Danio rerio: one gene and its partners. The protein of the gene in region 1 interacts with the protein of each later gene in a pairwise test. Links are inferred from orthologs where the notes say so. Each region holds a gene or a part of one and is shown on either strand. Other genes may lie near its edges.

Region 1 (10,890 bases):
ACAAAAACTTCAGTCGTTGAATTTAAAATTGACGTAGACATAACTATATGCTAATTTTAATTACAGTCATGAAAAAAGCTGAAAAGTAAATAATAGGCTAAGCTAAAATAATGACAAATCAAAATTATAAGTCATAATTAATTTATTTATGATTATATATGTGTGTGTGTGTATATATATATATATAAATATATATATATATATATATATATATATATATATATATATATATATATATATATATATATAATTGTAGTGTAATTAATTGTAAATCATAACATAAAATTAAATATTATTAACTATATGATAATACCAGTTGTGATAAGGTAAATCACAAAGATAAAAAGTTAAAATTGCCATTAAAAGTAAATTAAGAGATCATTTATATTTACAAAAGGCAAAATTGTCACAAATATAAATATTAAGAGACATAAATTTATATAAAGTGAAACTGAGATAAAAGGCATAACTATGAGAAATAACACCAAAATAAGGCAAGACTATGTGATAAAAGTTAGTATATAAAGCCATAATATAGCTGAAATGAACATAAAACTAAATTACAATAATTAATAATTTATAATATTGGTTATCTTAAGACATGAGTAATTGTATAATATCTCCAGTAATACAATGATTATTATTTTGCTGTCCCATGCACACTACCTTTCTAGTCTTCAAATCCATACCTTCCAATCAGAGGAGGCTCGGTGACATCAGGGGGCCGTTTCAGGTGTCCATCCTGCAGACATGAAGTTGTGCTGGACCGTCATGGGGTTTACGGCCTGCAGAGAAACCTGTTGGTGGAAAACATCATTGACATGTACAAACAGGAGTACATCAGGTTAGATCTGGGAAAACGAATGCTTTGGGAATCTCTAATATTATGTCCATATGGTTTTACAAGATCCCTTGTGTTTAGTACCTAAAAATAAATAAATCACAAATGATTTAGACAGAGAAGGGAAAATCTAAAAGCTCCATATGGTGACCATTCGCAAATGCAGCAAAGATTCGTGAAGCAGTTTTGTCTGACTACAGTGAAAAACTTCAGTTGTGTCCCAAACTATGTAGTATAAACTAGATTAGACCATTCACTCTATTTATTTATACAATAGACTGGTCACCAACTTGTCATCACTGTTCAAAAAATGAGATCCATTTAATTTGACATATAAAGTCAAAATGTATAGCTAAAAATGCAAGATGTCCTCACTGCAGCCCGCAGCTTAATGACATAGGCGATCGTCAACTACGAAGCAGATCTTGTACTGCCCACTAAGGTTGCGCCCATGCTACTGTGGTGGTTGGGTTTAGGGTAGGGGAGGTGTAGGCGATCATCCACTATGTAGCGGACCTTGTACCGCCCACTAATGTAACACTCATGCTACTATAACAGTTGGGTTTAGGGTAGGGGAGGTTTATGGGATCGTCAACTACGTGAAGAACCTTGTACCACCCACTAAGGTACTGCCCATGCTACTGTGGCGGTTGGGTTTAGGGTAGGGAGAGGTATAGACCAGTGGTTCTCAAACTGTGGTACGTGTACCACTAGTGGTACGCGGGCTTCCTTCTAGTGGTACACGGAGGAATGAAATATGTCATGTACATGCTACATATAATTCAAAATTTATTAAAAATGATGTATATAATATGCCATATATTATATATAGGCTATATTTCCGAGGTAATCTGCCAGGTTTTTTTAACTGTGCAGAGTTGTAGCTGCTTTACTGGGCCAACTACGCTACTGTATTTCAATGCTGCTCATTTTGGTGGTACTTGGAGAGACAGTTTTTTTCTAAGGTGGTACTTGATGAAAAAAGTTTGAGAACCACTGGTGTAGACGATCGTCAATTACGTAGCGAACCTGGTCAATTACATCATTTTTATTGAGATGAAAAAATAAGTAGCCCAATTTAATACATTAGGAATAAATATTATAGACAAATTTATAAGAATAGCGTTGGTGCCAATAGACTAGTGGTTAAGTGTGCCAACATATAGCATCCTGGTGCTCATGGCGACCCAAGTTCGATTCCCGGCTCGAGATCCTTTGTCGAACCTTCCCAGCTCTCTGCTCCCAATGATTTCTTGCCTGTAACCTCCACTGTCCTAAATAAAAGATGAAATAAAGAGGAAAATATAAAATCTTCTAGTTTTTTATATATATATATTTTAAATATTTTACATGAATTTTACATGAATTTAAATATATTATCTTTTTATTTTAAAGATGGTCAGTGACTAAATATTATTTTAATATCTGTTTAATAAATCTGTTTTGCTAAATGGACCAAAATATATTAGCTATATTCCCTTGAGAAATTAATTTAAAAAAAAATATTTTTTTCAAATCATTTATGCTGAGCATATGTGTGTGTGTGTGTGTGTGTGTGTGTGTGTGTGTGTGTGTGTGTGTGTAATTGTGACATTTGAAGATAAAAAAAAAGATAAAAAATAGATCAAACCTATATCATTTACATAATAAGTCAACCTAAATAGTTTAAATGGTGACATCAAAAGTCAAATTTAAGAGCTAAAGCCATAATAAATTTAAATAATAAATATTTACATAAAAGATATGACAAAAAGTAAAAATTGTAATGAATTAGGATAATTTGGATGAATTATGAGTATTTATTATACTTTTTTGCTAGAATTATGATTTACCAAAGGATCATTTTAATTTATTAAATTTTTTTTGTGGTTAAATTTACCTTCAATATACACCTATTTCAGTGGAATAATCCTCCAGCCATTCAGTAAAGTTCATGAAGAAACTTTTTTTTTTCAAAAAAAAGAAAAGAAAGAAAAGTCTCATAATGAGAACAGACAGGCTTTTAAGATTGAAATTCCCCAAGGTTGAACGATTAAACTCTCCACCGCCCCGCCACTTTGCATCCCACTTCAGCGTTTCACTTTATAAACTCAAAACAGCTTGTTTTGGCTGGGAGGTTTATCTTTTAAAGCAGCCGATGTTATTGTACTGCAATAGACAGATGTCCATGTGACTCGAGACCTGTGACTCAGATGGGTCAGAAGGCTAAGGATGACGGTCAGCTGGCAGCAGACTTATTTTTAGTTCCACTAGTCAGAGTTGAGTCTCATAGACACACTGACACACATCATAGACCCTCAATACGGCCCTGTGAACTCTATAGTTTTTTGATTAACCGTTGATCTGGAGTCCTGTCCACATTTGAACCAAAGTCGAGGGCTTCGAAAAGTACTGATCTGTTTTGTCATACTCAGTGTTTGATACTCATAGATCTGTTTTTTACACAGCAGCAGACCTTCTCCTGAGAGAAAGGTTGACCAGCCGATGTGTGAGGTTCATGAGGATGAGAAAATCAACATATACTGCCTGACCTGTGGCGTCCCCACTTGTTCTATGTGTAAAGTGTTCGGCGCCCATAAGGACTGTCAAGTGGCCCCTCTTGACAGTATTTACCAGACGCAAAAGGTAAAAACTGTAGCTTTTTGATGCATATTGCTTTTTTACATATTAGATTTTCTTATCATATAGAAATCTGACACATAGAAATATATGCAAATTATAACCAGTACATGACACAAGTTCATATTTGGATTTATATTTCATAAATTTGCAATATATAAATTTTAAAATATTGCAATAATGTCCATTTACATATTTATTTTTCAACCATATGAATTTAGAATAACAATATGTACATATATTTTGAAAAAGAATTAATATAATATGAGATATATATATATATATATATATATATATATATATATATATATATATATATATATATGTATGTATGTATGTATGTGTATGTATATAATAATAATGTACTTTAATAATAATATAAAATTAATATAATTAAATATCTAATAATTATTTATTCATTATAGCTCATATATTTGAACAAATTTACATATATGTAATTCCAAGGATTGAAAAATATATATATATATATGAAAATGACCATTTTTACAATATTTAAATTTTTTGTCATTTATGTAATTTGCATATATTAACATATATACAATTTCTATGTGGGTTTAAAGTGTAATATAGCTATAGTTTTGTGCATGTAAACAAGTTACACTCATTCGGACCACGCAAAAAATGAAACACATTTTTTTATGATCACATTCTACATAGTTAAACGTTTAAAGAATAAGTACAAACTAATAAGATCTTGCTGGATGAGGGCTGACTTTCCATTAATTTTTTTGGTGAATTGTAATTGTAAATTGAGATGTGATCAATCCAATCAAAGCCTGTTTCTACTGTAAAACAGAGCCTGATTGGTCCTAAACCCACCTTACCTACATGAGATCTATTTTCTATTGGTTGAACTTCCTAAAGATTTTAAATGATGTTGAAAACCACACAATCACAATGTGATTGGATCAAAGATGTTCGATTGCTTTAGTAAAGTAAACATGAAACAACAGCACAGGAAACAACAGCGTTGTTTTTATGTATTTTTTGATGTACTGAGGAATGTTTTATGTAAATCTGACCCTGCAACACAGTCTTAAGTTACACTGGTTTACTTATTACTAGGTATTAGCCAAAAATACACTGTATGGGTCAAAATTAACGATTTATCTTTTATGCCAAAAACCAATAGAATATTAAGTCAAAATCATGTTCCATGAAGACATTTAGTAAATTTCCTATTATAAGTCTATCAAAACTTTTAGTAGTCTTACACTACTTGACAAACGTCTTGAAGCTTATCCAAGTTTTAGGAACAACAAATAATAACTTGTAGTTGATATTGGGTATCAGAGGTGGCTTAAATGAAAGGCAAAGGCCTCTAAATTACGCTTATTTTACCAAAACTCCCATGAGCTTGAAGGACTGCATCCATACATCTTTACAATGACTCCAATAACTTATTAACAAAGACATCTGGAAAGGCAAAGAAAGCGTTCCTGCAGGACTCAAAGTTCATCAAGATTCTTTGGATTCATCTTCAATGCCTCCTCCTTCATCTTACCCCAGACATGCTCAGTAATGTTCATGTCTGGTGACTGGGCTGGCCAATCCTGGAACACCTTGACCTTCTTTGATTTCAGGAACTTTGATGTGGAAGTATGCAAAGGAGCGCCATGTTGCTGGAGAATTTGCCCTCTCCTGTGGTTTGTAATGTAATGGGCAGCACAAATGTCTTGATACCTCAGGTTGTTGATGTTGCCATCCACTCTGCAGATCTCTTACACGCTTCCATATTGAATGTAACCCCAAATCATGATTTTTTCTTCACCAAACTTGACTGATTTCTGCAAGAATCTTGGGTCCATGCAGGTTCCATTAGGTCTTCTGCAGTATTTGAGATGATTGGGATGCAGTTTAACAGATGATTCATCTGAAAAATCTACCTTCTGCCACTTTTCCAAATGATCAACTTCAAGTCAAGTTAATATTTGTTGCTCTTACAACTGGGATCGACGACAAGACTTTTGTCAGGTAGTGTAGATTAGTAGTAATATGCATTGTCAAGCACTTCATTTAGACAATTTTCTCATTATTTAGACCAGGGGTCACCAACCTTTTTAAAATTGAGAGTTACTTCTTGGGTACTGATTAATGTAAAGGGCTACCAGATTGATACACACTTGTCAAATAACAAATTTGCTCAATTTACTTTTAATTATAGATTATTATCAATAATTAATAATATTCATCTATGTGAAGACACTGATTATGTAAATGATTTCTCACAATAGTTGTCAACAATGATTTAACAAGCTAGGAAACAGAAATATCTATATGCAACACTTTGTTTCTATAAATCTCTAAAGTATTTACATATTCAAATGATCACTTCTACAATATTTTCACTAGCCACTAACATTTTGTAACAAACCATGCACTACAATGTACCATGTTCGTACAGATTATCAATTGTGTAACAGAAATCAACTTTCAGATTTTACTGAAATTATCACCAAATCTACAGCATTTTTAACATAGTCGACACTCTTCTAACCATTGTTGTTGCCCCAAATTGGACATCGGAGAGAGTGGAGGCTATATTTATTAGTCTTTAAGCACAGTTTTGCTTTCCTGTCTGAAAATGCCTTGTTTTTCTAATCAAAAATGTGTAGCTCTAAATGAGACTTCAGTTGCTTTTTGGGGGGGTTTCACCATTCTTGTGAAAAAAAGACTGCTGTTTTCACAAACCTTCCAGCCTTTTTCCATTTGTAGTGCGCTGCCCGGTGGGCAGTTAGCATGGTAATGTTAGCTTGCGTGACACTTTCTGAAATGTCTTTCAATATTGTGTGCTTTGCCATCACTAAATTAATTACAAAAAGAACTCTTCCTCCTATATTCACTTTGAAAATTATGTTTTTTTTCTGTTTTTTTTTTTTGCCATGTTTTCAAATCCTCTCCTCCCCTTTACTGCACCGTTGCTGTGGATGCTAATATGAAATATTTTTAAGTTTTTTTTTTTTATTTCATTTTCAAATTTACACAATGCAATTGTGATTTAAAAAGAATAGCTACAAAAATATTAGGTGGCACTTACTGGTAAGTGGCACTGTGGTGAGCTATTTTTAGAACAGTCCCTAACAGGGCACTATGTTGGTGACCCCTTATTTAGATTTTTTGGACCCTCAGATTCAAGGTTTACACATAGTTATACCTCAAATATGGTACAAATATATCCTAACAAAGTATGGAATGCTTAATAATAAAGCTGTCAGATAGTGTATAAATCTCAATTCAATAAAAGAATTACAGTTATGACTGATGTTCTTGTCAACAGTCACAAATGTGTTTCTATCATAAGTCATGTGCATGTTCAGACACAGAGAGTTGCAAAGCAAATGCTTTTTAAACAATAAATAATGCGAAGCTGATAAAGATATACAGTGCAATTAAAAATTGCATACTAAGTAGGTATTATCTCGAATGGCTAGTATGAATAAAATTTGTCACATGACCTATACAGGTTGCGTCACTTGATGTAAATAAGGCGTAATTGGGCCCTTTATTTTTGTGTGCATAAGTATGGCAGAATTTGCGTCAGCATGCATGCGCTTGTCGGCGCAGCATATATTTTTACAGTTGTGTGTTAATATGCTTACGCACGTCCTCATCTCCAGACAGAGCTCTCGGATGGAATAGCAATGATGGTGGGCAATAATGACAGAATCCAAGGCATCATCAGTCAACTGGAGGAGACCTGCAGAACCATAGAGGTTAGTCACCCTGTGTGGGGGCTTCTCCCTCCCCAAAGCCTGGCAGAACAACAGGATTATTGATGAGGAACGTAACAACGCTTCCTCTGACAAAAGATCCACACGCTCTGGCATCAATGAGCCAGGCAGGCAGGAAGCTGGACTCTCTCCAGACCTCACAGTTGCGTTCGCAGAGGATCCATGATTGACAAGCAAGCAGAAATGAGCCGTCTCTGTTGAGCATATGGCTCCTCTGACGGAAAGTCATTGTGCGCAAGGTTAAGGGTTAGATGCGGTCGAAGAAAAGGAACAGGTAGTCAAACTATTGATTTAGACAAGTTCTAAAGATCAATCTTAAACTTTTGGCAGTCCATAGTCAATCAGTTACACATTTTAAAACATTGCACGTGCAGATTAAGTGGCTTTCTCCTGCATCATTTTATGCTCAGATTATAATAAAAGGAAGATTATATGCTATAAACACTCGAGGGTTTAGGATTGGTTGGAGATTTTGTAATAGTTGGGAGTTTTTAAGGGTTCTAACGCACATCATTTGATGCAAAACACACACACACACACACACACACACACACACACACACACACACACACACACACACACACACACACACACACACACACACACACACATATATATATATAGTTAATATGTTATTACATAGTTATTATTGTAATATTATTGCATTTTAAAATAACCATATTCTATTTTCATATATGCTGCAATGTAATTTGTTCATGTGATGGCAGGTTATTCTCTTTAAATATTTTGCATTATTATTGAAAACAGATGCTACATAATATTTTGTCAAAATGATGAATAGATGAACAGAGGGGATCAAAAGAATATATTTGTAAACAAATTACATAATAACCTAAATTATTATCATCCATTTTTTAAAGAAAATACACCTTATACCTTTTTATAGTAATGTATATAAATATCTAACTGTACATTTATGAATGTGACTGAATTGCATTTTATACTAAATTCATATTTAAACATATTTCCAGGAAAATGGCCGACGACAGAAATCCAAGGTGTGTGAAAGGTTTGACCACTTGTACTCAATTCTTGAGGAAAGGAAGAGAGAGATGAACCTGAAAGTAAGTTCCGAACAGGAAGAGAAGCTGAACTACATACGTGGCCTCACAAAGAAGTATGGAGATTATTTGGAGTTCATGACCAAAATCATGGAGACAGGAATACAGACACTGGAAGAACCAGAGATGGCTGTTTTCTTACAGGTCCGGTAAACCTACAATAGGTTATAGAAACAGGGTTACCACAATAATATTAATAATAATTATAATAATAATAAGTGACGATTATTAGCCCTTCTGTACTTTTTTCTCTCTCACATATTTCCCAAATTATGTTTAACAGCGCAAGAAAATTTTCACTGTATTTCCTATAATATTTTTCTTTGGGAGAAAGCCTTATTTGCTTTATTTTGGCTAGAATAAAAGCATTTTTTAATAATAATAATAAAAAACTTTTAAGGTAATTTTAAGGTAAATATTATAGGCCCCCTTTAGCTATATTTTTTGAATGTCTACAGATCAAACCACTGTTATACAATAATTTTCCTAATTACTCTAACTTGCATAATTAACCTAGAGAAACTCTTTAAGCTGAATACTAGTATTTTGAAAAATATCTAGTAAAATATTTTTTATTGTCAACAGGGCAAAGGTAAAAAGAAATCAGTTGTTGAAAATGAGTTTTTAAAATTATTATAGTCAGAAATGTGTTGAAAAAAACCTTTCCATTAAACAGAAATTTAGAAAAAGTTGATATTTTATGATAGATCATATATAAATGCTGTTTAGGGGAAAACATGCTAAAATGTTATATTATGTTATAAATACGCTATAAAGCATATATGTTGAACTCCATTAATTCAAAATGCTGGCACAGAAGTCCATTTAACAAAATCATGAAAACTGATTCATAAAAATGTGTGGGAACCCTGAAAAAATTTTAAATATAATCTCATACTTTTTATGTTATCCTCTCATAAAATAAATAACCCCTTTCTCTCTTACGTCATACAGAATGCTAAACCCCTTCTGCAAAAGTAAGTGACGATCCCTTCTGCAACCTTAATGCGTATTTTTCATGTTGAACATACACCAGATTGATTTCTTATTTGTTAGAATTGCAAAGGCATCGAATACCTCACACCTGGAGAGAGTGGAGCGCGGCTATGAGAGCATGGATCATTACTCTGTACACTTCAAGAGAGAGGGCAGGGCCCTGCGCAATATTGACTTCATCAGAGGTATGACTTCACCTGAAATGCCTGATTAAGCTTCAGCTATCAACATGTTTGGGTTTAAATCAGGTTAGCTTGTTGAACTGATTACTGCATGAAAGTAACCTTTTCACGCTCCATTCAGAAGTCCTTGAGATGTTTTCAAATTTTGATTCGAGCAACCAATTCAAAAGCCAGCCGTCTTTTCAGTATATTAAATCAAATTTGTAAGCCAATTTTTAAAAAGAACCAGCAGAAATGTGGCGTTAGACACTGTCAGAATAGTGGAGTTGATGGTATCTTTATACTCAAGTGGGTTGAGAAAATGCAGCTTTTTGATTTTACACTTTTTAAGTCCATTCACAACAAGAATGATATTTATTTGACCTATCAGTTGCATCGTGTGTCACGCTTGAATTAGAGCAGAATGCATTTTGATTGGCTGATTTGACTGCCTATTTGAGATTATTCACAATACCTTAAGTGATATATTTTTCATAATTTAGGTTATTGGAATTGGTGTGCAGTTTTGGAGTAATGGAGGTCATCAAAACCACACTCCCCTGGTTTTAGTGACCGAGGCTAGTGCTTTAGTTAAGACCAGAGAAGTCAGTTTTACCTCCATTATGCTTACCTCTCCCAAAACTGGCTTCCATCTGGGTCATGGCACCACTATAACCCCTCTAATTCTACTCATCCCACTTGGGAAGGGATTCAAACTGTCACTTCTGGAACGAAAGGCAGGCAACTATATTTCTATAGCACTTTTACAATGTAGATGGTGTCAAAGCAGCTGTGTCAGTCCAGTTTTCAGAGTTGAGGTTCAGTTTAGCGAAGAGCAAATCCCTCGATGCACAGCTCCACAAGTCCCAAACCAAGCAGGCCAGTGATGACAGTGGCGAGGAACAAACTTCACCAGTTGACTAAAGTGAAGGACAAAACCTCAAGAGAAACCAGGGTCAGTAGGGCACGACCATTTCTCCTCTGCCCAAACTTCTTGTGGAGAGCTGCAGTGGAGGCGCCGAAGGCTGGAGAACGATGGACGTCCATTGCTGGAGAAGCTGCAGGTGTGAGGATGCTAATGAATTTCTTGAGGCCATGGAAGCGAGCTTTACCTGCATTACTAAGGGTCTCCATTACAGTCACAACTATAAACTTTTCTCCCATTGGTTACAGCAGTAAAGTAAACCTTCTACTTCTGCTCACCCCACTCCAAGCAGGATTTGAAACAGAATTTCCAGCTTGGAAAACAAGCATGTTACAACAAGACATGTCATGTTAGCTTACCCCCTTCATCCTGCTCAAAGCAGGATAAGTAGGACCTGAGGGCTTACTTGGTGCCTTGACCAGTATGGTTGAGGGGGGGTGAGTGAAATGGAGGCTAGTTAGGATAAGCTGTGCAGATAAACAAGTCCCCTGGCTTCTACAGGTGCACCAGTGAC
Region 2 (10,990 bases), on another chromosome or scaffold:
TCTTTACAAATGGAGACAACTGCTGAATAGGTTTGCATTGTGATGTAAACATGGACCCAGCCAGAAATAGAGAAGTGGCTGAAAGAGAAACAAAGATGGCTGGGATGGAGCAGGCATGCCAGAAGATTCTTTCCTATACTGTAGGTGTATTGCCCTAGAAGACATAAGATGTGATGTGGATGAAAACCTGTGGCCAAATGGAGAAGATTGAGTTGATTAGCAATTGTTGAAATATTCAATAAATTCCATGGGTGTTCAATAAAAAAAGGTCAGGAGAGGGTTTTCTTCAATGTCAAAAATCATAATTTATTGGATTCAAATGAATGTTTCGATTCACAGAATTTTGTTATCCTCAATGCAATGCAAAAGTTGCATTACGGAGATGTGCAACAACTTTCATTTCCTGACTTCAACTTATATAGGCAGCTGATATTAACAGGTGGAGTTTAGTGAAATTCGTCATTCATTGTCCAGTGCGCCATTGGTCACACCCCAGACACGAGTCCTATTTTTGTATGAATTTTCTGCACAACAATAAAAACACAAGATTTTCTGTGTACTGTGTTCAGTTTAACATCTTTCTTTAGACAGAAGAGCAGCATGTATCTACTTCTGCAAAAATGCTAATTAGTATGCACAGCATCTCACACACAGCAGTAGAAGTTCAGTTAATATATGACCCTTAAATGACCGAAACAATTATTCGTTTAATTTGTTTGATGAAAAGAAAAAGAGACAAAAACAAAATAATACATTCCTTTTTCCTAACACATTGCTATTGTATCTGTATCAGTGGATGATGAATGATGTGTATACAAATTCTTGTATTTTGGAATTACTTAAAATTAAGAATAAATAAATAAATGACACAAAATACTGACAAATTCTGCATCTTGTCTGATTCATTCCAATAACATATTGCAGTTTTAAACAATATATATTGCTATTATAAACAGAGATTGTTTTACACAAGAAAACAATGTAATGCCACAAGTTGTTAGTGTTTTTATGTGTCCTAGTGTCTTTAAAAAAAGCTATAACTTTTATAATACATTGATATGCATATTTACATCTTGCATAAGCATCCAAAAAACCTGTGAACTTCATATGCTTGGCCATAAACAAATGTAGCGCATACTGTATGTCATGAGTGATCTACAGGAACGGCTTCATTACTGGAGTGATGTGACGTGGTTTCCTGGCTTTCATGCTTGTGTTCATGACTGGCATTACATTTCCATACCATAGTGTGCTGAGTGGCCAGATTGCATAGAGGGGGACTGTAGAAGAGTGAGGTCAGTTCCTGTAAAGTCCCAGTGCGTCACTGACAGAGCAGTCAATGACAGACAGGGGACAGAATGTGTGTGTAACATGAGAATCTTGACCGTCCACATCCTCTGTCCACACAGCGCTATATTCATCTGATGAGTGTACACAGAGCCAGAACTCACTGAACACATGCTCTGGCCATGCTTTTTAATATTAACTCTATGTTTGAAGTACAGAAAAACACATTGATTTAACTATTATTGACATTATTATTGATAATAATAGTATGTGGCCAGTGGAAGGTTGTTACAACTTTCCAGCTATACTATGTTACTAATAAATGCAGCAGACTTTTATATTTAAGCAATGTTTCTGTAAGAGATTACCAGTATAAAAGAAGATTACCAGCAGGGAACAACTGCCGCCACATGTTTATAATCTCATGTCTGTTTCCAGATCTGAACACTGCTTAGTTTCCATTGAGAGACTTATGATGTCTGTTAGCAAGGTCATTGGAGAAACAACTGTCACAATAATACACAATGCCGTAGAGATTTTGATGGAGAGACAGAACAAGAACAGATAGAAAGACAGACAGAGCGATCGTTAGATAGTGCTGATAAATACATAGATAAATCTGGCATCTTTTCACCATAAGATCATATTGATACTTATAGCCAGCAATTCATTATTTCATCTAATACCAATATAGTGGAATATCTATCATTATAGAAATGTAATGTGCTTAAATTGCAGAACCAACAAATTCAACCATATATAACATGAATATTAAATTGAACTGGAAAAGAATTGCAGAATCTATCATCAACAAAAAAGCACTTTATTTTTTATTCAATAATATAAAAAAGTAAATCATGTTTGGTCTCACTTTGTAAATACAATCCATTAGTTGATATTCCATTTATTAAGCCATAGTTTAATACAGTTTATACATTTTTTACAGTCACTTTGGTCCATTTCTCAGATCAGAATTGAAATTCTGTTCAATCTTCACATCAGTGTGGTACTTCTGCAAATCGAAAAAGCAGAATCTCATTCCTTTGATCAAATTGCAAATGCTTGCATACATCCATGTAAAATGATTATGTGCAATTCTCTGATAAAAATTATTGTCATTATGTAATTTATAATATTAATGTATTATTTTGATCTCTGTTTTGACCCCATCACATTAAATCGTTTGTTCATGGCATAAGTCTTTACATGCAAAATGGCTAAACACGTTTTAATTTGACTATTTTTTTTCCTAAATCTGTTTACAATTGATAAGTTTCTCCCAGGTGATCTTGACTTTTTCTAATGAAGGTGCTTCTCAGAGGAGATTGTCCAGTGTACACATTTCTACTTTTGTTTTTTCTTTGTGCTGTTATTTCCAGCCTGATCTAACGAGAAAAGTATTTTATGTTTTGTCAGTTTAGTCGTACGAAATTGTATGATTTGAAAAAGGAGGCGTGGCACTTAACCCCACCCCTTAACCCAACCGTCATTGGGAGATGGGCAAATCGTACTAAATTGTTCGAATAAGATCATACGAATTCATACGAATTAGCCACTAAATGAAAAAGTTACGAATTGCCGTGAGATTGTGTTGGTTTTTTCATCACAATGACATGATCTGACAACAAATTACGGTACAAACAGCAAAAAAAGCATCAGAAAAACCCTTTACAGGTCACATCAAAAGACCCCTTCAGAATACACTATTATATTGACAGCATGGCTAAGTAATTTGACTGTCATATCCGTACACAATGACACAACATGTTCATTGACATAGAAACTTCGTTTTAAGAGATGAACTAAGGTTTTTGAGCAAAAGACTGGGTTTTGCAGATAATCCATGGTGTTCTGCTATTTGTATGTGTTGGTTTTGAGAAATGCACTTACTGTTCTGCAAAATTTCAATACTGATCTGAGAAATGTACCAAAGCGACTGAGAAAAACTGTATTGGCATAATCACTATATGGTGGTATTGATAACAAAGCTGGATGGGTGGGTGGGTTTTACAGCTTAATTTAAAAATGTAAACTTATTGTAGTTTTATTATCCATGGTTTCATGGTGATATCTATGAAGACAGGTGAAAAGACACATTCTCTGAAATTATATAGAGAGAGACAGACAGGTAGGTATGTAAGAAGATGGATGAATGGATGGATGGATGGATGGATGGATAGATAGATAGATAGATAGATAGATAGATAGATAGATAGATAGATAGATAGATAGATAGATAGATAGATAGATAGATAGATAGACAGAATGATAGATAGATAGATAGACAGAATGATAGATAGATAGATAGATAGATAGATAGATAGATAGATAGATAGATAGATAGATAGATAGATAGATAGATAGATAGATAGATAGATAGATAGATAGATAGATAGATAGATAGATAGATAGATAGATAGATAGATAGATAGATAGATAGACAGAATGATAGATAGATAGATAGATAGATAGATAGATAGATAGATAGATAGATAGATAGATAGATAGATAGATAGATAGATAGATAGATAGATAGATAGATAGATAGATAGATAGATAGATAGGCAGGCAGGCAGGCAGGCAGGCAGGCAGACAGACAGACAGACAGACAGACAGATAGAAAGATAGATAGATAGATAGATAGATAGATAGATAGATAGATAGATAGATAGATAGATAGATAGATAGATAGATAGATAGATAGATAGATAGATAGATAGATAGAATGTGTCATGGAAATATGAGTGGTTGGGGATTTCTCAGGTCTTATATCCCTATCCCAGCGCTGTGTTAGAGAGTGTGTGTATGAATGTTTGGATATGTGGGTGTGTGAGTGTCAGATGACATATGTGTAGACAGTGTGTACAGGGTGATTCCATCAGACAGAAATAGCTGCAGAGTTGTATAAAAGCCTGAGACACACACTCCAGCGGACAGAGCAAAAGGAGTCCCTCGCTCACACTCAACCAGGACAAGAGACAGAAAAAAAGCACTGAATATACCAACTTGTAAATCAGGAAAAATCTGAAGCTGAAGATGCAGGTTTGCTCAGTCCTGGAGAAGAAAGGAGGCTGTGTGGTTGGAGCCGAGCTCAGCTGCAGCGTCAGGGAGGAAAACCCAAATAAGAGAGAGAGTTACACCGCTGACTGGCGCAGCATCAATATGAAGACACAACCTGAGGATCGGTGAGAAAATCATATTTTTGTTGTGATTTCTAATAAGTAATCATGTAGTTATTTGTATTATACTACTTAAATATTAAATATTATTTGCTTTTTAAAGCATGTGTTTCACAAAAAGGCTGTGCTAATGAAAAATATGTATATTAATGATTTAAACAAGATCAAGCAAATTAACAGAAATCAATAAAAAGATTAGGAACAAGTTAAATTTATTATTAATCCTATGCAGTTTTTCCTCACCAGTAGGCTACATTTATCATTTAAAGGTATAGTTGACTCTAAAATGAAAATGTTTTCATAATTTTCTCACCCTCAAGTGGTTATAAACCTTAATGAATTGCTTTCTTTTGTTGAACAAAAAAGAAGATAATTTGAAGAAAGCTGAAAACCTGTAACCATCGACTTCCATTGTAGGAAATATACATCCTATGGAAGTAAATGGTTTTCAGCATACCTCAAAATAAATTTGTGTCTAACAGATGAAAGCAATTCATAAAGAAACTCAAACAGAAACAAGTTAATAAAACCAGAATTTTCTGTGAAATATCCATGCATCTTTAGACATTTTTAAAACAACTTAGATCATTTATATTTAGTGCATCTTAAATTAATATTAAACACATAAAAAAATATCAAATCTTCCCTCTCATTTATAATTCTCCATGTTTCTCTCTCTCCAGCCAGTCGATGCTGATGTCAGACGATTCTCGGCGAGAGTCTCTATCCCGTTATTGGCAGGTGCGTCCTCTCCATCAGGCCTGTCCGTCGGGTGTGCGCAGAGTGGGCACTGTGGATACGGGTGTAAGAGAGCACCAGCTCTTGCCCTACAGGAACAGCCTGCCCCTTCCCATCTTCAAGCCTGCAGAACTGGGCGTCCGCCTGGGTCGTGGAGCTCCACACACCCTGGAGGATCTGCCACCTGTCCGCATCCCTGACGGAGTTTGTCCAGACAAGAGAGCAGTGGAACAGATCACCAGAGACCTGCCGCCTGTCAAACCCATGCGGATGGAGTTCGCCAAGGCACCCAGAGCTCTGGGACGATCAATGTCTCAGGAGGCCCAGAGAGGCTGAAAAGCAGGAAGACAAATATGAGTCAAAGACTTTATGGACGTTATTAAATAATGAGGCAATCAGAGGGAGAGAATCAGAGGGATTAAGAATGTAGAAACTGATTTTAGGAAAAGTAAAACAGCAAGTTTAGTGAGTGAAATAATGATAACAATCATAATGAAATAATATGCAAATGATGAAATGTTCATAAAGGCTGGGAAGAAAGAAAGATGATGATGATGATGATGATGATGACCTCGATGACAAGCCTAAAGGTTTTGTTTGGTGGGTTTTGAGTTGTAAATAGGATCTGCTTGTTTTGTATTGTCAATGTTCGAAGCACTTTTAATTGTAAGGACACAGGTTCATTTTCTGAGCTTGTGTTGATGTTTTTTTCTGCATGTCGTCAGGGTTGTTCATGCAAAAAGATAATTAAGCAAAAGAGAAAATTATTTATTTTTGTTAAAACTTAACGCCAAATAAGAATTGCACTATTTATTGACTGTTGATAATTGTTGACTTGTTGAAAGCTGATAATTACTTTAATAAAAGTTTTATCGGATCAGACCTGTTTTGTGTTTCATTACAAGAGAGAAAGAAAGAAACTTGTTTAAACAACAAAGCACAAACCCCGCCCACAAACAATTCTTGACATTTCATTGGTCATTTAAGTTTGTTTATTACAAAGCACTGAACAAATAATAACCTCAAACCTAAAGTTATTAATAGATTAATTAGTTAATTACATATTTTAGATATATAATAGATAGATATATGTATATATAGATATATTTATATTTATAATAGATAATATAATATTTATAATATGTATATATAGATATATTTATAATAGATAATATTATATTTATAATATGTATATATAGATATATTTATAATTAATAATATTATATTTATAATATGTATATATAGATATATTTATAATAGATAAAATTATATTTATAATATGTATATATAGATATATTTATATTTATAATAGATAATAATATATTTATAATATGTATATATTGATATATTTATATTTATAATAGATAATATTTTATTTATAATATGTATATATATATTTATATTTAAAATAGATAATATTATATTTATAATATGTATATATTGATATATTTATATTTATAATAGATAATAATATATTTATAATATGTATATATAGATATATTTATATTTATAATAGATAATATTTTATTTATAATATGTATATATTGATATATTTATATTTATAATATATATATTTCTTGTGTTTGGAGGAAAAATGCATGTGTGGAGTGGATTTTTTTTACATCAATTATTCAGATTGGCATGGATGAATATGATCATTTGAGGAACATGTTAACAATGTGAAAATATATCTGAACAATTTACACTATGCAGAAAACCATTCAAATGGGGGAAATAGTATTTAAGAATCTTAAAGCAAATTTCAACCCTCAATTCACTGGTCAGTATGCCATAGTTGAGAGGATTGATTCGGAAAGCAGTATGTCCTGGTGCAAGATTTTGAAACCAAAGATAAGCAATAGAGTCTGGGGTTGTGCTGAGGGGTACAGTGCTGAATTGATTTACATCATACATCTCTGACAGGAAGTTTTTTGTCAAGATTGGTAACTTTTCCTCGTCTATGGCACCGTTAACGTGTGGTCTTCCGCAAGGCTTGATTTTAGCACCTTCTCTCTTCTCTCTATATAGGTTTTATTTTCAAGAAATATGGCCTGTATTTGTATCTTTATGCGGACGATACACAGATTTATCTGTCAGTCAAAAAGGAAAATGACTCCTCTGTTGTGAACTCCCTGTCACTGCACCTGGAGGAGGTAAAGGCATGGCTTTCTGAGAATTTTTTATTTTTAAATGAGGAGAAAACAGAGGTTATTGTTGTTTGTAAACGCCCCAGGTTTGGCAAAATGGAGGAGTTTAAATCACCCCAAGTACATATCCTGGGCGTTGCATTAGATCAGAACTTAAAATTTAATAAACATGTTTCAAGTGTGGTTGGAAATAGCTTTTATCAACTTCAACTTATTTCTAAAATTCAATGAAATGAATAAAGTCTTCCCTCACTTCACGTTCTTGAGAAATTGTCATACATTCTTTTAGAACCTCCCGGTTAGACTATTGCAACTCTTTCTATTTTGGGCTGCCTCAGATCGATCACCTATAGTGCAAAATGTAGCAGCTAGATTTTTAACAAAAAGCCTGAAATATGCATGCCACTCCCATTTTAAGGACTCTCCTTTGGCTACCGGTGAGACAAAGAGTCAAATTTAAAATCCTTCTCTTTATCCTAACACTTGCTTGTTCCGCTGATCAGTTTCTATTAAAAGTCCCAAAGGTCCACTTTAAAAGCATTCGCTATAGCCAGTTCTTGGCTTTGGAATTAAAAATGTCTTCATTAATGCAAATTTTTAAGTCTAAATTAAAGACTTGTCTATTTTCTAGGTCGTTTCAAACATAAGTCCCTTCTACGGGGGGCCTGCGGCCTCGTTTTTAATCTTGTTTAGTGTGGTCAACTGTGGTGGCATCTTTTAACTAGGTGGGATTATTTAAAGGGTCAAATACTTTCTTGTTTTAGGCATTGAAACCAAACTGTTTTTGTATAATCTATTTTACATATTTTATGCTCTCTTTTACATTATGTGCCTATTTACTGTTTTGTTTACTCTGTACTGCTTGTTGTTCTTGTGGCCGTTTGGAAACATGCTATAGAAATAAATTGGACTTGAACTAATATTTGGTAGGGGGAATTAAGATTTTTTATATATATATATTTCAAGTAGTTAATAAAAAGTATTTAGTCAGTAACTTAGGCAGTAAGTTGTGCTGCAGAGACTTGATAGTATGGAGAAAACATTGCGACAGAAATCTGAAAACCCTCTGTTTCAAACTGAATGACTGGATTTTAGGATAAATGGAAAGAACGTTGAAAGAAACTACAATATTTTGTAAGTTCTTTTAAAAGAATAATAAGAAAAACTTCTTCCGAACCTCCATACAGGAATGATGTTGTTATATTGTTCAGCTTTTACAGTAATAATATTCAAAGTGTTAGAATAGAATACATTAGAATACAATTTTCACATTTCAGATCTCTGTAGCATCTTGTCAGCTGTATATTTTCTTCTACTGATGCAACTTTCTCTATAAACTTGAATGTCAGTGGGGAGAAAAAAACAAAAATGAGAAAGAGATTTTATGAAAGTTTAAGTTTTTTCATCTAAGTAACATGTAGAAAGAGTCCGTTTTAGTTATTAATTTAGAACATGAAAAGCTTCTTGAGAGTTTTTTTTGTTTGTTTGTTTTTTGGACACAATATAGACATAACTTCATTCCTGAATTAATTGAGTTCTTATAATCCTGCTGTCCATGTGTTTTAGAATATTGTTAGCAGTCTCAGGGGAACGTGTTGTGGGATGTGAAAGGCAGGATTGGATGGAATGGAATGTAAAGAGGCAGTCCAGCAGTGGTCAGAACAGACAGTCCTTTGGCATCACAACTGCTCTCATTAGCTTGTTCTTTAAAGCAATGCTTAAAATACTTTGGGTTATAGCTTTCTGGTCATTTTTAATTTTCACAGTAATAATTTACCTTTGATTGTATTGTAAAATTAATAATATACTATCTTGTAAATAACATACAGTTTTAGAGTGCATTTAAAATGTATTTTTCTGCTTGTGAAAACAACAACAATAAGGCTCATATAATAAAAAGTAAATAAGGAAGTTCAGACTGTTGATTAAAAAAAACAATCAAATCTATACAAAGTCACATTAAGCATTCTATTGAGCTCTATAGAACAGAAGGGTGAACAGGAGCTGTGACTGTGGTACATGCTGTCTGATTCATCCCCCAGAAAGCATTCAGTGATTCTGTGCCAAGAATGTCATCTCTGAGGACACTGACTTTGGATGCCTCTCTCTCTTTCTTTCCATCAATTTATTTCTTTCTGATTTCATTACTGTGCGCTAATTAAAATATACCTTTTTATTACAGTCATAATCATAGTCATTTTCTCTGTGTCACGCTGACGCCTGTTAGATATTAATAGTTAATCAAACTGAGCCAAAGGACGAGAGTGTGTAGAGGTGCTGTTGATGGCAACAGCGGGCATCTGCACCCCTCCACTGATCCTTTAATCTAGTTGGTTCTCGTTCTCCCTCTGGTCGGTTTTTTCAGCTGTTGCACGACAACACATTCTACCACATGTTTTAGATTTGGGGTTTATTTTTGATTATTTAGCCTTTGCTTTTAGCTTTAAAAAATTATGATATTACGTGTTAGAAGAGACTTAAATCACATTTGTAAACAAAACTGGCATCAATTATTAACATTTTATATTTAGTTATGTTCTGCATCTTTTATTCCCCCTATGCATGTTCTCCCCGTGTTGCGTGTGTCTCCTTTGGTCTTTGTGAAAGGAATAAACTAAATTGGCCATAGTTTACGATTGTCTGTGAATGAGAGATTGTGGTTGCCAGTACTGGGGTGCGGCTGGAGGGGCATCAGCTGCATAAAACATATCTTAGAGTAATTGGTGGTTCATTCTGCTGTGGCCACCCCTGATTATTCAGGGACTAAGCTGAAGGATAGTGAGTGAGTATTTCCCTTTAGTGAAATATCTATTTTGCAACACTAAATGTTTGAATCAGCAATATTTAGCTCACAAAATATCTAACTAAAACTACAACATAATTTTTTAATCAAAATCCATTCGTTTGACACATTAATGCATGTTCATAAAATGGAACTTGATTTAATTTTTATTTTTAGAAATGACTAATTGAGAAGTAACCTTTACACACCTCCCATGACCTTATAAATTACTTAGTGAAACAGCCAATGGCAAGTGTCCAGCTGCACATCTTTTCAGTATTTATATTTTTTAGAGTTAGTAGTAGTGGCGTTTATTAAAATGATAAAATTAATACTGTTTCGTAGTTGTGCGTCATGTGATTTTTTTTATATGTTTTATTTAAGTTTTTTCCTTTTTTTTTTAAATACAAAAAAATACAAAGAAAATCAACTGGTATAAACACAGGAATCCCAGCAACAAATCAGGAAATAAAAAAAAGAAATACAAATGAATAAATAACAAACAAATGGGGGTATTTACCAATAAATTGTTGGCATGGCCAGAAAAGGTTGAGATTTTGGTTCCAAGGAGTGTATCCTCTCAAACTGAATGACTTGATAAAATTCACACATCTACTATTTGTACCATGGGGGGTTGGAAGTTTTTCAGTTTAAAAGTTTTTTGCAAGAGTTAGGCCAATTAAAAGGAGACGTCACATTTTTTTTTTTTTTTTTTTAGTTTGCGCAAATTTTGGCTGTGTAGTTCAACAATGTTTATTAAGCAGAATTCCATGGATATAAAGAAAAATTAATTTGTCAGGAGATTTTCACTCTATTTCTGAAATGGTGATTTATGCACTTTAATAACACATATGCTC
Region 3 (10,890 bases), on another chromosome or scaffold:
GAATTCGCAGGTCAGAGTTCAACAAGCTTGAACTTTGCAACGCAGTAAACTGCGAAACTTGACGCACAAACTTGCATTTCCGGTCTGACGCATTTGCATGCGTATGAATGGAAGTCTATGGGTGAAAAAAGTCCAGTGTGACCGCAGCTTTAGTGTTGAAGCAGGGTTGGAAAAACACTGTGCAGGTCTGTGGCCAACCAGGAACAGAGTTTGACACCCCTCTTTAAACCTCCTATTGACGTTAAATACTGACACTTATTTGTCAGGAATATCAACCTAAATCAGGGGTCTCAAACTCAATTTACCTGGGGGCCGCAGGAGGCAAAGTCTGGGTGAGGCTGGGCCGCATAAGGGATTTCACAAAAAAAAGTCCTCAAATGTCATTATTAACAGTTTTAATTATTTCTTCTGAACATGAAGTGTCCTGAACATTAATAGAACATTGAGTGAAGATTATGAACAGTTCTTCTGAACATGGCATCTTTTGCCTACTTCTTGCTGCCAGAGACTTGACAGCGCTTCTTCTCACAACTCTGAACCACATTTGGCTTTAGAGCGGGAGCAGTTGAGACCCTCAATATGGCTTGAAGATGATCATCAAGTCTAGACCTGCACTTTGACTTATTGAAGTCCTAGGGAAAAAAGTGGGGAAACTCACTCAAAACTTCCATTCCCTCGCCTAAAAAAAAGGCGTATATATGTATAAATAAAACACCCCCACCCCACTCCAGTCACATCAGTCTGTACCAGTCTGTATCTACCTATAATATCAACACAAGATGCAGGGCAGGCACGTGCACACATAGGGCTCAACCTGTGCAGAGCACATGCCCTTTTTAGTCTTGCATAGAAAGTGCCCTTCCAAAATGATCAAAAGTGCCCCCGCGACGCGACACACCCTCGGTCCCGCCCTTCAGTAGGTGCGCGATAACACCGCTCTTGAGTACGCGCGTGACAACACAGCTGATCAGAACGCGCGCGACAACGCGCATTGAGTGACAAGCGCGCTGTGTACGGATAGAATCAGCGGAGCGGGGAGCGCTCTCTCTCCCCGCTCCGCTGATTCTGTCAGAGTACAGTGGTCGGCGCGGGCCACAAAATATTGCACTGAGGGCCGCAAATGGCCCGCGGGCCGCGAGTTTGAGACCCCTGACCTAAATTTATTAAGCTGAGACATCATTAGACATTGATATTTAGTTGAATTTAGGTTGGACGTTGGCCTGGACAACGATGGGTTCTGATGTCAACCTGATTTTCATTTCCAAACTAAATGTAATGTCCCTATGATCTTGGGGTACAAGTACAACATCAATCTGACAACACGTTGACTTTATGTGCCTGCTGGGACATTACAGAAACACAATTGCCCAAAATTTTCCACATAAAATAAAATTGGGTCACAACTTACACTAATGTTGTTTCAAACCTGACTTTCTTTCTTTAAGTGAACTTTTAATTAAACTTTTAATTGAAGATCTTTTTAAGAATGATTTTAACTAACCATACAGTTGTATAGTTGCACTTTCACTGAAGACTGAAACTGTTTGATTATCAAAATTCTTCATAATTTTCCCTTACATTCAGAACAAAGACGGTAATGCAGGTTTTGCAATGGCTATAAGCAAAAAAAAAGATACAAAAACGGAATAACGGTCATATAGATAACAGTTCTACAAAAACAAATAGCAAAACTAATTCAACAATATATTAACATTTAAACATATTTAGGTACAACACAGAGTTGGCATTTAATTAAGATCATCGAGGTCATTGAACAGCAGTTTTGCTATTTTGGGTTCATACAGAAATATACCAGCCTTAATATACCAAGACTGAGACACCAGAGACCACTGAGCAGAGAACAAACCTGCTGAGGATGCAGAAATGCACTGTAAGGTCCCTTCACTGTTCACACGACTGATGCTATTTCACAGAAGGCACTGCTACAAATAAACCAGTCGACATTTCTGAGCACTAAACATTTCAGGAGACTATAGCTCTGTCTTGGTTTTATGTAGTTGACCTTCTTAGTTTATGTGTACTTTCAAGAACAAAGCAAATGTCACCAAAGATTAGGGTTTGATTCGTAGTATCGCATCAAAACAAAATATAAACATGTCAAGCTCTGTATAACCAGTAAAAAAAAATTTAAACTGAAACTTTTTCTTCTTTTGTCTTTTTTCAATGGTTTGTTCTATTAAAAATGATTCCTGTGTGCTTGCTTAAAAGTGTCAATTGTGTCTTTGAAATTTTGGTCTCTAGTGTCTGTTCTAACACTATATCCAGCTACAATGGTAATGAATGATGTATTATCACATCACTATTTTTTTTTTTAATTAGGTCAATAAAATATTTTTTTAATTAGTACACTTATTCAGCAAGGATGTATTAAACTGATCAAAAGTTATATTTTTAGGAATTAAATGTTTACAAATGATTCATATTTAAAAAATAATAATAATTTATTGCCTATTTGGTAAAACTTTATTTTGATGGAAGTGTTCATAAGACTGTTATGAAACCTTTATAATCAATATCATAATCATAAGTTATTTTAAGTGCATTGTTTTACATGCTTTTTTAATAACTTGACATAGACAAATACATCATAACCTGCCTTTGTCTTTTTCATCACAATTCAACATTACCAAGAAAACATGAATCATGTTATATCTTAAATAATGGTATTAATCTGTCATAAACTTGACTGTCATGAGACCATTATAATTAAGTCATGAATTTTACAACAGAGTTATTAAAGTTTTTGTTGACCTCAACTACAGTGGTAAAAATTGAATTTGGCATTAAAATGTAATTAAATATTAATGGCACTGTTCTAAAATTAGTATTGACACTTTTACTGAGAAATTTTAAACGATGACATATTCTTTTTCTCTGAAAAAAGTAATCAGAAAAATATTCATGACACAATTATAATGGCCTCATGACAATTATGTTTATGACAGATTTATGATAAGTTTTGGTGTTTTGATAATATCAAAACACCAAAACTGTCTTGACAAAGACAGGTTGTGATGTATTTTGATTTGCCACGGTGTCATAACAAAGCACCTCAAACAATGTCACCCTTGCATATAAAATGACAACTGAGCGAATAGGATGCTTTCACACTTGGTTCAATTGCCTGGTCCAAACCCAAGTTCGATCGTCGCCTCTTACCACCTTCTCGGCTGGTTTGTGTTCACACTGTTTTTTTACTTCTGAACCCCGGTACGTTTGCGTCATGGAGCTGCTGTTGTGTGTACAGCTGTTGCTAGGTGACAACCACAAAAGCAAAGCGCCAAAATGGAAAGACCTCCACACATCGCAGTCGTTCTGCTTTTACTGTATCTTTTGGTTTTGGACATACAGAAAGTGACTCGCGTCCATCCGGCACAAAAATTTTATAAATGTTCAGAACATAACGCGATGTCCGCAGAAGCTGTTAATGGAGGAGACAAGCAGACATTATCCTGCTTGGCACCAAAGTACATTATGTGATACATAGACAAACACATACACACACACAAACGAACGTTATGAAAACAATTTGTTTGTTGCACTGTCGGCGGTTCACTTCTGTTATTTGGTACGATTGCATTCATACCAGAAATAAACCAGACTAGAGTTTACATGAACCGTACTTCAGCCCACCTCTTTCAGGTGGACTCAGGTACAGTTCATGGGTATGCACCCGAGTTCTCTGACGTCAAACGAACCTGGGTGCAGACCAAAAGTGCTAGTGTAAAAGCACCCTTAATGACAGTTGCATGCATACAAAGAATCTGCTTCACATTCATGACCTATCACATCATATTTTAAAGGTGTCATGATAGTCTTATGAACACCCCTTCAGAAAAAGTATCCGCTTGTTAAGTGTGACGTCACGCGAAATGACTTTTGGGTCCAAGCGCAACATCAAACTGTATGGGGAGACCCACCAAATGGTAATAATAAACATTTACAAAGCGATGTAATACTTTCGAAAATCAAGATCACAATGTATAAATTCATGCCTAATATCCGATGGCCAGAAAGTGATTAATTATTGTTTTTTAATTGTTAAAATTTTGGTATTTGTGATGCAGCAAGTCCAGAGACTGTTGTGTACACCATGATTTTATAGAAAATTCACTGCAATGTGTGATAGGACTAAAAAGTGGCCATAGACGAATATTTTCTCACTTCAAATAAGTAACGGCTTGGTACTCCATCCGTCACCGATATGTCACGACTTAACAAGGGGAAGACCGTTTAATCATCAAATAATCCTGAAAAACATATAGGGCTAAATCATCAGATTCACTATTAGATCATTAGATTGATAATTAGAGAATTGTTTTCTTTCGAATGCTGAAAATTAAGCTTTGATATCACAAAAATAAACTGCATTTTAAAACAATAATAATCTTTCACAATATGAAACAAATAATCAAAAACGAATTCTTTTGGAAACCTTAAAAACTTATCAATCCCAAAATTCGGTATGAAAATAATTTCTACTAAACTCTGTTTCATCCACAATCATCTATGTTGCTTACATCCTAGAAAACTTTACTATTGAGCTGATGTCATCAAGCACTTATATTTTCCATCCCCTCCCCTCCTCTCCAAGCACCTGCCATACAGCAGTCATTTTGAACAATCTAATCAGTGTGTACATTCAGTAAATATGCTGAGAATTGGGTTTCTCGAAAACTTCAACACTATAGCTTAGAATATAACAGTTTAAGGGCATAGCTTCTGCTGTTGTTTGTTTTTCAGGCATGGAAAAGTGTCAAGCAATGGCTTTCATTCTGGCCACAGACCAAGTCAGAGGGTAACAGGAAGCATTATCTGTCCTGTGTAACTGATATGGGGGGTCTAATTTTAGCTCAGTTGAGAAAGTCACTTCAAGTGTGTGTCTGCCAGCAGAGTGCAGTCGAATGTGTCTCCTGAAACCAGAGCCTGCTGACAAGACTCAAAGTCCACAAACATGTCTGGGGAAATTCCAACCAAACCCTAGAAACCCTCTGAAAACGTCTCTCCAAAAAGAGACAAGCAAAAGAAGAAATTGTTTACCAAAAAATGTTCAAGCTGCTCTTTTAACACACAATCATACGGGTTTGGAGCGGCATGTGGGTGAATATGAAGGATTTTTCATTTCTCAGGTAAATTATTTTTAAAAAATGCAAAATAATCACGATGGTCAAGAAAACATTGTATTTTAACAAAAGAAGCGCATTCGTACCTCAACCAGGTTAATTAAGTGCAAGAGGAATTCATGGGCATCTTGTTGTCGATTTGAGGAGAACTCTGGATGTCCTTTACTGACCAGCGCTTTGAACATCTTAGGTGAAATCCCCCTTTGCTGCTGCTGCTGCAGAAGAAGAAAACAACATGATACATCTAGGCTCAGGGTCACCAATTGCACTGTAAAATGGCATCACTAAATCTGTTGAGTGGCATACTTAAACACTCTTAAACGGCCACTCTTAAAACTCTAACTTTAGGAAAAACTCTAACTTTTGTTTTTAAATACAGCATGAAGATAAAATAAAAAGTCAATGCAAGATACAAAAACATAATATGTAATTGTGAGTGAACATGGTCTCTCGATCCTGATTTTTCCTCAGAATTTTTAATTTGTGGTTTAATTATAAACTTACAACAATTTTAACTTTAAGATATAAACTCAAACTTGTAAGAAACACACAAATTCCATATAAGCAGACAATTCTATAAAATAAATCCACAAACTATAAAATCAGAACAGAACTTTCTTTTCTTCATATATATCTCAATGCAGAATTGCATGGGAAAAAAATGCCTTGGCTTTTTAGCAATTAGCCTATGTCTCACAGCTATGATATATAAACTGAAAATTGTGTGATGTAAGCTTATGAGTAAAGCTTTTTTTTTAATCTCCAGCAGTACAAAGCTTTCATAGGTAGGTGCCACATTGTGTTATTGCTTGTTTGCATAACATCCATAAACGTTACTCAACTTTATTGTATGCTGTTTTCACTTCAAATTCCTAATGATTGGCATCCAGGTTAATTCAAATAATTGTCCGTATGCAAGAACCATAAAAGCAAATTTACACTGAACTGTCAGACACCATAAACACCATAAACACAACCCAGTAAGAACCAGTTGAATCAGTGAAAACACTTGTCTGTTGCTATTGGGTGCAGTGTAAATAACCGTTTTCAAAGTATACTACGGTTAAAAAAAGTTTTCTGCCATACCGTTCCCAAGGTATTTGTAAGATTTTTTATTTCCATTTTTTTTCTAGTTTTTTTAGGACAGTATCTTTAGTACAGGGGTGTCAAACTCAATTCCTGGAGGGCCGAAGCCCTGCACAGTTTAGTTCCAACCCTGCTCCAACACATTTACCTGTAGGTTTCAAACAAGCCTGAAGGACTTAATTAGTTTGCTCAGGTTTGTTTAATTAGGGTTGGAACTAAACTGTGCAGAGCTGCGGCCCTTTTGGAACTGAGTTTGACACCCGTGCTTAAGTAGAACAGTATCTCCAGCAGAAAACAAATCCAAAGATGGCGTTGTTTTAAATTGTGAAAAAAAAAAGCAGCAGAAGTCAATGATTCAATTGAATTATTTAGCCAGAAATGTTTACTGTTCCAAAATATCTTAAATGATTCTCAAAATAAAATATATTGTGTTCAACGTGGAAAAAAAGTAGGATTTTTTTACCCAGACACTTAAAATAATATATTTTTGAGCAGAAATTACAGTACTGTGAAACCGTGATATTTTTATCCAAGGTTATCATACTGTCAAAACCTCATACCGGCCCATTCCTGGTGTAAATTGGCCTTAAGATTGTCTGACTGTCATATGTGTAAAAATGCAAAAAAAAAAAAAAAAAAACATGCCAAAGGCTGCAACTGCTAATCTTGTAATTGTAACCACAGACGAGCCAACTTAATTAAGCCAAATATCAACAAGACAGACCAAGTCAAATACCTTGTGTTCTTCTTTCATCACCTGTTCAATAAGTTCTGATTTCATTGGAGGTTTAGAGTATTGGCCTGAGAGAAGTCCATGCCCAAGTTTTGCCCTTGAAAATAACCAATTTAGATGCCATGTATGAATCACGCAAACTTAAGATAGATATCAAATGCTGTTAACATTTCAAAATATTATCAATCAAACTTATATTACTGGTAATAAAGTTTGGCATAATATTGCAATATGTTATACAGTACTATAGGCGAAATTTAAAAAAATTGAAGTTTTAAAAATAAAAAATATAAATAAATAAATAAATAAATGTAAAATGACAATAAAAATTACATGACAAAAACACCTACATCTGTGTGTTGAAATCCTGAGTTGGATCGAGGGGTGAGTAGTCAAATATTCTCTGTAGGTTCCCAGCATACCTACAATAAATGCAATAACATATTGTCGAGAAAGGCACATCCATACTAAATTCATTGTGTAAAAACCATAGATTGAATATGGTTTAGAGTCTGGCACACACACATGCTTGTTTTTGTAAATTGTGAGGACATTCTGTCTGTTTACATTATTTTTATTCTGTACGAACTGTATTTTCCATCACCCTATCCCTAAACCCAACCCTCACAGCAAACTGTGAGCATTTTTACTTTCTCAAATAAAATAAAAATATCATTGTTTATGATTTATAAGCCTATTGAAAAATATAGACATGGGTAATGTCCTCATAAGTCACTTTCTCCTTGTCTATCAGTGTCATAAACTTTTTATTATACAAATTTGTCTCCCGATATTTCACACAAACATGCACACACACACACACACACACACACACACACACACAAATCAAACTGTAGTAAAGCAGGTTTTGTCATAAATGAAACTTAACACAATGGTAGGAGTATGTAGGAAGCTTGAATGTACTCACGCTCTCTGGAACTCTGGAATACTGAAAAGCACTTGCATAGTGGTGCTCAGGTAGCAGCTGTTGCCCAGGTTTTTGATGCCTGTATATCCTGAACCATAGACAGGCTTTAACTTTAGACCTGCCTCCTGAATCACTTCCCAGTCACTGATACGCGGTTGAACGTGGTTGTCTGTATGATGGCCATTCTCTGTCTGGAAGGTAAGCACAAGAACAATCCAAAAGGTTGAAAACAGAGAACGTAGCTTGATTTTGCTTTATCACTACACACACCTGCTGAGCATAAATGAGAACATGCATTTTTGAATATGTATAATTTGTATTAATTTATTATACTTAGTCAGTAATTTTGGTGCATTTAAATAAATCAATTTTATCAAACAGTTATTTCTATTAAAAATTGTTTGGTCATCTTTAGGAATAAGCAAATGAAAATTTACAAACTACAACTAAATGTAATATTTTTATGTTATTTTTCTTCTGTTTATACATTTTTTATTTAAGATTTTTTCCCAAATTATTTAACTGGGTGTACTAATTTTTGGACCTTAATCTTAAGTTGTTTTGTTAGATTATAGTTCCATTTTTTATTAATTGCAAAACATGTGTATAAATAATACACACATAATATAACTGACACAACCTCTTTTACTGAAATAGTGCCTAGTTAATAACTGAACTATAAATTTGTAATATCATTTTGTACATTCTCATACACTCTGCTCATGTCAATATGAGCTATGTTAATAAAAATCCTGTGATTCAGTGAAAATGTGAGATTGTCTGTAAAAATGTTCACAATCATTTTAAAAAAGGAAACAGTACATTGCAAGTATACTTTACTGGCTTATGTTCATATTTTATCAGAGCTTCATAATCAGTGCTGGATAGTAACAGATTATATGCATTCCGGATTATGTAATAAGATTTTAAAATGAAAGTACTTGTAATCAGGTGTAATCTACCCAACTCTACACATAATATATACCATAGCATAGTTACATTTGACATATTTGTAGTCTTAGCCTTCAGGTTTCACTGTATTAAAGATAACAGTAAACAGACTGTGGATCAACATTTTAAAAATGAACTTTTAATGAACTGTTTTTAAAAAAATGTGTAAATGTTAATAATTAATACCACTTGGATTATTATCCAGTTAAGCAATTACGCAAAGGAATGATCAAAAGAATAACCAGTTATTAAAATAAAAATTTACATTTAAGAACTTTTAAAAATTGTGATTAATACTCTTTACGTATCTTTACATAGTTAGATAGTTTTAAATATCATTTGATTTTGAACAATTTGTAAATAAAAAAATAAAACATACCCTTTGCATTTGTAGCATATCAATTCCGAAATGTAATAAATGTTCAGATATGTGAGGATCAAGTACTGCTTCTTCTTCATCAAAGGAATAAATATCTGCAAAAAAAAAAAAAACAGAAACAAACAAAAGGTGAGTAAATGATGAAAGAATTAGCAGTTTTTGCTAATTTTTAATATACACTCACCAGCCACTTTATTAGGTCCAACTGCTTGTTAATGTAAATGTCTAATAAGCCAATCACATGGCAGCAATTCAATGCATTTAGGCATGTAGACACGGTCAAGGTGATTCAAACTGAGCATCAGAATGGAGCAGAAAAGGGATTTAAGAGACTTTGAATGTGGCATGGTTGTTGGTGCCAGATGAGTATTTCAGAAACTGCTGATCTACTGAGATCTTCACGCACAACCTTCTTTAGGGTTTACAGAGAATGATCCGAAAAAGAGAAAATATCCAGTGAGCGACAGTTCTGTGGGCGCAAACGCCTTGTTGATGCCAGAGGTCAGAGGAGTATGGCCAGACTAGCTCCAGCTGATAGAAAGGCAACAGTAACTCAAATAACCACTCCCGAGGTATGCAGAAAATCATCTCTGAAAAGCACAACATGTCAAACCTTAAGGCGGATGGGCTACAGCAGCAGGAGACCACACCGAGTGCCACTCCTGTCAGATAAGAACAGGAAACTAAGGCTACAATTTGCTAAGGCTCACCAAAATTGGTCAACAGAAGATTGGAAAAATTTTGCCTGGTCTGATGAGTCTCGATTTCTACTGCGACATTTGGATGGTAGGGTCAGAATTTCAAACTGCCTTGTATCAACAGTTCAGGCTGGTGGTAGTGGTGTAATGGTATGGGGGATATTTTCTTGGCACACTTTGTGCCCATTACTACCAACTGAGCATCGTGTCAACGCCACAGCCTACCTGAGTATTGTTGCAAACCAAGTCCATCGCTTTATGAAAACATTGTGCCCATCTTCTGATGGCTACTTCCAAAAGGATTAAATGCCGTGTCATAAAGTATGAAGCATTTCAAGACTGGTTTCTTGAAAATGACAATGAGTTCACTGTACCCAAATGGCCTCCACAGTCACCAAATCTCAATCTACTAGTGCACCTTTGGTGGAACAAAAGATTCACATCATGGATGTGCAGCCAACAAATCTGCAGCAACTGCGTGATGCTATCATGTCAATATGGACCAAAATCCTATAGGATTATTTCCAGTACCCTGTTGAATCTATGCCACAAAATATTAAGGCAGTTCTAAAAGCAAAAGGGGATCCAACCTGGTACTAGTAAGGTGTGCCTAATAAAGTGGCCGGTGAGTATATGTGTGCGTGTTATATATGTAGGTCAACATATTTCCAAAAAGACAAACCAGACATGAAGAGACAGTTACCTGCTCCATCTGGGGTGATTGTGTTGAGTTTAACTGCCAGGGGGAAGTTGCTTTCTCTGTAGTGCTCAAGGGCATGTCCGTTCCCTCCGCTCCCATCAAAGAACCATTTCCCACAGAGGACAGAGCCATCCGTCAGGTTTAGCCACAGGTTCTCTCTCATTTCACACTTGGCACACTTCCATCCGCTAATAGGACATAAAGCATATTGAAGACATGGTGAGACAGGACAGAAACTGCTCGTATTGCAGTTCAGGTGATGCAGGTGAGG

What was found.
Region 2: the proteins of trim55b (region 1) and tcap interact in a two-hybrid assay, tested with the Homo sapiens proteins (2 studies listed by BioGRID and IntAct). The link is inferred for Danio rerio from reciprocal best matches to the Homo sapiens genes TRIM55 and TCAP.
Region 3: the proteins of trim55b (region 1) and usp13 interact in a two-hybrid assay, tested with the Homo sapiens proteins (2 studies listed by BioGRID and IntAct). The link is inferred for Danio rerio from reciprocal best matches to the Homo sapiens genes TRIM55 and USP13.

Annotation. Positions count from the first base shown.
Region 1 is NC_133199.1:28,792,809-28,803,698, forward strand, and holds part of trim55b (tripartite motif-containing protein 55b), read left to right. Parts: intron 1-674; coding exon 675-844; intron 845-3,288; coding exon 3,289-3,466; intron 3,467-7,098; coding exon 7,099-7,194; intron 7,195-8,204; coding exon 8,205-8,438; intron 8,439-9,248; coding exon 9,249-9,271; intron 9,272-9,350; coding exon 9,351-9,475; intron 9,476-10,890. UniProt on the Homo sapiens protein: E3 ubiquitin ligase that plays an important role in regulating cardiac development and contractility, muscle growth, metabolism, and fiber-type differentiation.
Region 2 is NC_133178.1:19,970,072-19,981,061, reverse strand, and holds tcap (telethonin), read left to right. Parts: upstream 1-4,218; 5' UTR 4,219-4,323; coding exon 4,324-4,472; intron 4,473-5,149; coding exon 5,150-5,540; 3' UTR 5,541-6,087; downstream 6,088-10,990. UniProt on the Homo sapiens protein: Muscle assembly regulating factor. Mediates the antiparallel assembly of titin (TTN) molecules at the sarcomeric Z-disk.
Region 3 is NC_133181.1:31,935,947-31,946,836, reverse strand, and holds part of usp13 (ubiquitin carboxyl-terminal hydrolase 13), read right to left. Parts: intron 10,808-10,890; coding exon 10,623-10,807; intron 9,317-10,622; coding exon 9,222-9,316; intron 8,083-9,221; coding exon 7,892-8,082; intron 7,386-7,891; coding exon 7,314-7,385; intron 7,061-7,313; coding exon 6,967-7,060; intron 5,360-6,966; coding exon of another isoform or gene 5,357-5,359; coding exon 5,231-5,356; intron 1-5,230. UniProt on the Homo sapiens protein: Deubiquitinase that mediates deubiquitination of target proteins such as BECN1, MITF, SKP2 and USP10 and is involved in various processes such as autophagy, endoplasmic reticulum-associated degradation (ERAD), cell cycle progression or DNA damage response.